2 linked regions of the Ovis aries genome follow. The protein of the gene in region 2 interacts with the protein of the main gene of each other region in a pairwise test. Links are inferred from orthologs where the notes say so. Each region holds a gene or a part of one and is shown on either strand. Other genes may lie near its edges. The genes, in order: ZNF639 and PNKP.

Evidence for each region.
Region 1: the proteins of PNKP (region 2) and ZNF639 interact in binary tests that used the Homo sapiens proteins (3 or more experiments, as listed by UniProt). The two-hybrid records come from large-scale screens. The link is inferred for Ovis aries from reciprocal best matches to the Homo sapiens genes PNKP and ZNF639.

Annotation. Positions count from the first base shown.
Region 1 is NC_056054.1:208,553,298-208,557,112, forward strand, and holds part of ZNF639 (zinc finger protein 639), read right to left. Parts: intron 1,954-3,815; 5' UTR 1,943-1,953; coding exon 1,885-1,942; intron 882-1,884; coding exon 771-881; intron 1-770. UniProt on the Homo sapiens protein: Binds DNA and may function as a transcriptional repressor.
Region 2 is NC_056067.1:55,947,088-55,951,002, forward strand, and holds the start of PNKP (bifunctional polynucleotide phosphatase/kinase), read right to left. Parts: upstream 2,834-3,915; 5' UTR 2,646-2,833; exon of another isoform or gene 2,470-2,645; 5' UTR 2,457-2,469; coding exon 2,306-2,456; exon of another isoform or gene 1,982-2,305; intron 1,863-1,981; exon of another isoform or gene 1,636-1,862; coding exon 1,589-1,635; exon of another isoform or gene 1,487-1,588; intron 1,257-1,486; coding exon 954-1,256; intron 571-953; coding exon 491-570; intron 414-490; coding exon 356-413; intron 272-355; coding exon 164-271; intron 1-163. UniProt on the Homo sapiens protein: Plays a key role in the repair of DNA damage, functioning as part of both the non-homologous end-joining (NHEJ) and base excision repair (BER) pathways.

The sequences.
Region 1 (3,815 bases), on a different chromosome or scaffold from region 2:
CAGCCATTTCTCCAAGAAGCCCTCATTCTTTCTATTGGAAAATGGTATTAGAAACCAGGACCAGGGCACGAGATGTGCTCATTGCTACTGGGATGTTATTTCTGTTAGACTCTCAGTTAACAGAGCAGAAAATACGTGCATGTGCACTACTACAAATATACTGACATCCCATAAATGTTTCTGTATGTAACTGTGTCTATATTAAGCCAAATATGAGCTCATACTGATGTCTCTGACTGAATGTTCTTTAAACGACCACATCCTTCACCTTGTGTTCTTTCCTTCCATTAGCCCTCCAAACAGAAACGCAGCTGAGCAGAACAACTGTGTGTAACACTGTTCTTTCTGTGTGGGGTTTTTTTTTTTTCCACTCTACACGGCACTTAGGATCTTAGCCCTCTAACCAGGGATTAAACCTGCACCCCCCTGCAGTGGAAGTACAGCGTCTTAACCACTGGACCATCAGGGAACTCCCGGAAATACCACTATTCTTAACTTTTCATCATAAATACTCAAAACTCTGGGTCACTCCTGCTTCGCCACGAATTCCTAGCTGACTAAAACTGATAGAGGAGGATGTGTTTTTGATGTATATGTTTGAAATGATGTTAAAAATTAAAATTCACTTACCCAAAAGTCTCTTGTTTTCTTAAAACAAGTTTAGATACTTGCTCATTTTGAAATCATCACTTTCACCCACATTTTCAAATAGGAAATGAAAAATTATAAAAGCAATTTGAATGAAAATATTTTGGAAAATTTAAATATACCTTTGTTGTCAAAATATTTTAAGTCCGGTTGTCTCATAGAACAAACACTGTAACAATGATCAGAAAAAATTCCATTGAATCCATCTGCAATTCTGCTTATTCCAGAGGAATCTGAACATAAAACAAAATTAAAAAATTTTCAAGCACACCGTACACATAAACATCTAATGACAGCCATCTCTTTATCCAACATAAATACATTTTCATAGTATTGTAATAAGGTATTAATATTTTCTTGAATTCTGAAGGCTTTCATAATTCAGATATTGACTTTGAGCCTTGAAATAACCATAAATTATACAATTTAAAATATAATACTTAGAAACACACTAAGATATAATTTTCATGGTCAAGAGTCCCACAAAATATGAATATGTAATAAATGTGTTAATTGCAAAAAACACTGAATTAACTACCAAGCAGATCTGCCATGTACTGCAGAGAAAGCATAATACACAGAGGAAGGTCTGAGGACCAGTTAGGGCTTCTGAAGACAGTCATTTCAACTCTTGCCTCGGAAGGGCCAGTTAGGTAGACCAGGTTTAATTTCCTCAGATATGAAAAACAAGTAGGCTGGGTTGGTTACCAGGTATACCTGAGACAGCCCCAAGTATACATGTGCATAGCATAAGAGGTCAAGACCTCTTATTTGCCAAGATAGTAGAGCCATACTCAAAGAAAAGATCTAAAGTCATATAATCAAAATGAAACTTAAAACATTTCTGAAAATAATGTACAGGATAAAGTTTTTTTCCAATGATGGAAAATTACTTCCATCAAGGTTATTATTAAGACTTAAGCACAAGCTTGGGAAACACAGGCAAATCTCAATTATGCTATGTAAGTATGTAACTTGGATATCTAATCTTAAATATCTATAAACTATGAAGTTGTGAGAATTAAAATAAATGTCTGTGAAATTCTGATGTATGCCTAGCATACAGCAGATATTGAGAAATATATTTTGAGAGAATTTACTTACAGTTTCCTCTTAGCTAAAAGTTCACCCAGATATTTAACTCTAATCAGATCATTTATGAGAAAATGGATGGAAACACAACTGCATGAGAATTGAACACGGCCTAACTTTTAAATAATTTAATCGTACACTGACCTGAATAACGAGAAGGATGTAAAGTCTTCCTTTTTCTTTTTTTAGGATATTCATTCATATCTTTTTAATCTAAAAAATGGAAAAATTTAACAAATACATCACAAATAACAAGTGTTAATATTGTTATGCAAATTTCTTCTAATAAAAAAATTGGCTGGCGATAGGAAATGTGTCATAAAAATCGACTTCAAGAGAGAAATGTTAAACAATCTGGCTTATATTTTAAAATTACTTTTCTGATCAAGTTTAAAGGCTGTGTTCTGTTTTCTTTCTTCCTGAGGTTGAGAACGTTTCAAATGTTGATGTAATTGTGAAAACTGAATAATTACATAAGCCGCAAGGAGATCCAACCAGTCCATTCTAAAGGAGAACAGTTTTGGGTGTTCTTTGGAAGGAATGACGCTAAAGCTGAAACTCCAGTACTCTGGTCACCTCATGTGAAGATTTGACTCATTGGAAAAGACCCTGATGCTGGGAGCGATTGAGGGCAGGAGGAAAAAGGGACGATAGAGGATGAGATGGCTGGATGGCAATACCGACTCGATGGATGTGAGTTTGAGTGAACTCCAGGGGTTGGTGATGGACAGGGAGGCCTGGCATGCTGCGATTCATGGGGTTGCAAAGAGTCAGACACGACTGAGCAACTGAACTGAACTGAATGCTTATTTTCTATAAAAGAAAAATTGTACCTATGATACCAAAAAAAGAGTTTTATAGGTATGTTTCTTACAGTTGGGAATATTTGGACAGTTTTGAAGCCACAGTTCAGTTCAGTTATGTCCGACTCTTTGCAAGGCCATGAACTGCAGCACGCCAGGCCTCCCTGTCCATCACCAACTCCCAGAGTCCGCCCAAACCATGTCCATTGAGTCGGTGATGCCATCCAACCATCTCATCCTCTGTCATCCCCTTCTCCTCCTGCCCTCAATCTTTCCCAGCATCAGGGTATTTTCAAATGAGTCAGCTCTTTGCATCAGGTGGTCAAAGTTTTGGAGTTTCAGCTTCAACATCATAACTACCAATGAACACCCAGGACTGATCTCATTTAGGATGGACTGGTTGGATCTCCTTGCAGTCCAAGGGACTCTCAAGAGTCTTCTCCAACACCACAGTTCAAAAGCATCAATTCTTCAGCGCTCAGCTTTCTTCACAGTCCAACTCTCACATCCATACATGACTACTGGAAAAAACCATCGCCTTGACTAGAAGGACCTTTGTTGACACAGTAATGTCTCTGCTTTTCAATATGCTGTCTAGGTTGGTCATAACTTTCCTTCCAAGGAGTAAGTGTCTTTTAATTTCATGGCTGTAATCACCATCTGCAGTGATTTTGGAGCCCAGAAAAATAAAGTCTGACACTGTTTCCCCAACTATTTGCCATGAAATGATGGGACCGGATGCCATAATCTTAGATTTCTGAATATTGAGCTTTAAGCCAACTTTTTCACTCTCCTCTTTCACTTTCATCAAGAGGCTCTTTAGTTCCTCTTCACTTTCTGCCATAAGAGTGGTGTCATCTGCATATCTGAGGTTGCTTATATTTCTCCTGGCAATATTGATTCCAGCTTGTGCTTCTTCCAGCCCAGCGTTTCTCATGATGTACTCTGCATAGAAGTTAAGTAAGCAGGGTGACAATACACAGCCTTGACCTACTCCTTTTTCTATCTGGAACCAGTCTGTCCCATGTCCTGTTCTAACCGTTGCTTCCTGACCTGCATACAGGTTTCTCAAGAAGCAGGTCAGGTGGTCTGGTATTCCCATCTCTTTCAGAATTTTCCATAATTTATTGTGATCCACACAGTCAAAGGCTTTGGCATAGTCAATAAACCAGAAATAGATGTTTTCCTGGAACTCTCTTGCTTTTTCGATGATCCAACAGATGCTGGCACTTTAATTCTGGTTTCTATGCCTTTTCTAAAACCAGCATGAAC
Region 2 (3,915 bases):
TAACCACGCCCGGGGCCCCCATCCACTCTCCAACTGGCTCACCATGTCACACCTTCTCCCCGGGTCTCTGTTTCCTCCTTTCTGGCCCACCACGCAATCTCTGGCCTCTGTCTCAGCCTCTCTGTCCCTCTACATAGTCCTTCAGCCTCCCATGCAGCCATACCTGAAAGGGGACCCCCAGCTTCTCCACCACAGCCTCCACCTTCGCTTTGAACTCCTCCGCTCGCAGCTTTCCGCGCCCGATGCCCATCTGGTTGGTGAAGATCACCAGCTGTGAAGGAGATGGGGTGTCACCCCGGCCTTTCCTCATCAGGCCCGGGCCCGCCTTGTGAGCCGGCCCCTACGGAGTACACACCTTGTAACCCTCAGCGGCCAGTTCCCGGAGTTTCCGCGGAATCTCTAGGTACAAGATCCTAGTGCGGGCGAGGAAGCGCAAGGTGACCTGGGGCCCGGATGCACCTCACCACCCTCTCCTACTGCCTTCAATCACCTCCAGTCACTGGGGCTAGTGGGGAAGACCTTCCCAGAACGTGTGGTGATGAGGGTCCCGTCCAGATCAAAACCAGCCACCTGGCGTCACCCAGAAAAAAGAGCAGCACTGTTACACCTCTGGGCCACCTAGCTCGCAGGCTGGTTCGCGTCAATTCTGCAAGCTGGGACTATGAGCGCCCGCCCCTTACAGATGGGGAAACCGAGTCACAGCTGGCCTACCCATGTTCTGTAAGGACAGGATGCCACCCGGACAGCAGAGTGAAATCTTCTCTACCACCTCCCACTCCTCCTGAGCCCCTCAGTATTTCAATCTTTAAAATGGGTTTTGTATCCGACCCAGCCTCCTTCCATGGCCTATTTTCACTTCAGGGGACTAATAACCATGAAAATCCAAATATGAACTAAGTTTTGTTTGGGTGTTGACTGGACTGTGCTAGAGCTGTCTTCAGCTTGGGCCTCACCTTGCCCCGAGGCTTCACACCAGGTGCTGTGAACACCAGCAGCTTCTCGAAGGTCTCCCAGCCAGGGGATGACTTCCTTATCTGCTTTTTCTGCTGCTCAACATTTTCCTCCTCTCCCTCTCGGGTCACAGGAGGGGTGCTGGGTGGAGTGTCTGGCTGGGATTCTGGAGTGAGGGCCTCTTCCCAGCGCAGGGTCAGCGGGTGGAGGCCATTGACCAAATACAGCGTGTCCCCCACCCTCAGAGCGCCCTTCAAACCCGGTCTCAGCTCCTGGGTCCCGGCAGTTGAGGGGTTAACTCCCAGCTGTAGAGAGGCGGTAACTGGTGCTGGCCCCACCCCCGACAACCTTCTCCAATCAAATAACCCGAAAAAGGACTCGCCTTTCTCCACCAGCCAATCAGACCCTTGAGTCCCGCCTCTTCACCGTGTACCGCCAATCAGGCTCTGGGAAGATTAGCCTCGTCCCGTCTTACCCAATTTAAACGGGGATCAATGTTTACCCGATTGCAGCGGGCCACACCTGTTCCCCTCCCAGTCTGATTTTCCCAATTGGGCCCGTTCCCCGCTGGGTGACAATTCTCCGTACCCTCCATCCTCACCCCCAGTCCTGCTGCCTCTTGTTAAGGAATCGGTACCTGTTTCACTGCCACCGTCCGAGTCTCAGGGTCAGCGACCAGCTCCACTGAAGATTGAAGGGGTGGAGTCAGCATCTGAATCCTTGGGTGACTGCTTCTCTCTTTACTGGGGAGCATGCCCCGCTTCAAACCACAGGATGGGGCCACAGCACCCATTCGGCAGGAGGAAGCAGTTTATTTTCTAAGTAGGACTGGCTCGCTCCTTGACATGCAGGAGCCAGATAAAGGCCTTACAATTGCCTGGGACACTAGTCCTCGCCTAGGGAGACAACAGGTATTTTTCTGTGTAGAAATGGCTTCTCCTTGACAATGTAGGGCCTTGACAAGATGCAGATTCCGGGCTTGGCCCGCTACCACCCATCTCTGCTTAGCAATATGCACTTTTCTCCACAGAACCGGCTCTCTGCTTAACAAGGGTCGTGGCCTCATTCAAGTCTTCGCGGCAACTTGTGAGTATCCTTCTCTGCCCAGTGACAAGTGTCTCGGGATGGACTCCATCCGTTCCCGTTCAAGGTGTCTGGCTAAATCCAGGTCAAGCACCCTTTTTCTTTCTGTGCTCTCCACAGGGGGCACCTACCAACTTCGGGACTGGCCGCACCACACAGTTCCGCATGGTGGCCAAGCATATCCCCTCCTGTCTATCTTTCCAACTGCCTGTGTTCCCGCTCCTTAAGCACGCCACACCACCCGGTCCAGCTCAGGCCCCGCCCCGCCTACCCTGGTTTCGGGAGCACTTCCGGTCGGTAACCTGAGTCAAGGGTCCCCGGCCCAGGACCAGAGCTTGCCCGCCTGGGGGCAGGAAGATGGGAGGCGCTCCCCCAGCGGGGCTCTCCAGCCACAGGCGACCCTGGGCCTCCACCCTGGCCATTCTGGGAGTCGGCCTAAGGGGAAATAGGGAAACAGGTTTGAGTGGCATCTCTCAGTCGCTACAGGAAGTCCCGCCTCCTTCCGCCGTCTCCACTAGGAATTCCTTTCTTCCGCTAAAGGTTCCGGAAGTCCCACCCACTCATCGGCCTCAGGATAGTTTGGTTTCCCAGGCGACGACGCCCCACTCTACCTCTGGGAGCCTCGACCCTGCTTTCCAGGGCAAAGGCCGAAAAATTCGCGCTCTTGCCTCGGCCCCACGCTCACCCCTGCCCACCGCTTGGTTCATTCGCCACTTCCGACCGGGGACGTCTTGCCGGAGGCGCTGTGCCTGCGACTCGGCTGGCTGCTGTCTCTCCGCCCACGGAAATGACTCTTGCTACCGAAGTGGGCGGGGCATTGGCGCAGCTGCAGCTTAAGCCCCGCCCCTTCAGGCCCAGGAACCCTGCGGTACTTCTGCAGCTCTGACCTTCATCTCCTCTGCTGCAGTATGAGACTCAGGCCAGTAGAGGGGAGTGGATTCCATGCTCACAGATTTTCTTTCCGCGTTGAAGTTTTGTTTCATTTCTTTTGCCGGAGATAGTTACAGCGGGAGGAAATTCTCTTTAAGGTTATTGTCAGTTGACGAAATCCCGCCGAGACAGCAGTACTGCAGTTTTCTCATCTAGTGTGAGGATAATCGTTTCCACTTTGTGGGGTTACAAGGAACGTTGAGTTAGTACATGTAAATAATTTGTAAAGGTGTCTAGGTAATAGTTTACCCTGTTGAAGTCTTGTCTGTTGTTAGCATTCCATCGGTGGTGATCTGATGGGAGACGGGGATTCCGCCTTTGCATCCTCAGACCAGAAGCCATTTGTTCTTTTACCTCCAGCTGTCTTAGTCCGAAACCCGGCCTCAGCTGGGGGTTCCTGGCTTTTCCTGGGAACTACGTGGGCTCAGCTGAGAAGGCAATGGCACCTCACTCCAGTACTCTTGCCTGGAAAATCCCATGGATGGAAGAGTCTGGTGGGCTGCCGTCTATGGGGGTCGCACGGAGTCGGACAAGACTGAAGCGACTTAGCAACAGCAGCATGTGGGCTCAGGAGACCGACTCAAAACTATTCTCATTCCGAAATTTACAGCCCTGAAGATTGGGATTCCACTATCACACAGGAATGGAATCTTTTCTTCCACCCTGTGTATCTACCTTTTCTTGTCTGTGAAATGGGGACGAGTTCAATTCCCAACTTCGCGTGGAGAAGCAATGAGACCTGCTCATTTGGCTTCGAAAAATTGTGAATGAATACCCAGAACACACTTCATATTCATTTGTCAGAGGTAAAACTCTTTAATCTCAGAGCGCCCCTCCCAACTCCCAATCCCCACCCCCGACTCTCTCCCCTACGCCAGGGCCGGAGAGTGAGGCCCCCTGCCCCCCACCTTGGGTGGACGAGAGCCCTTTAAGGCACCTGTGGGGGTGGGG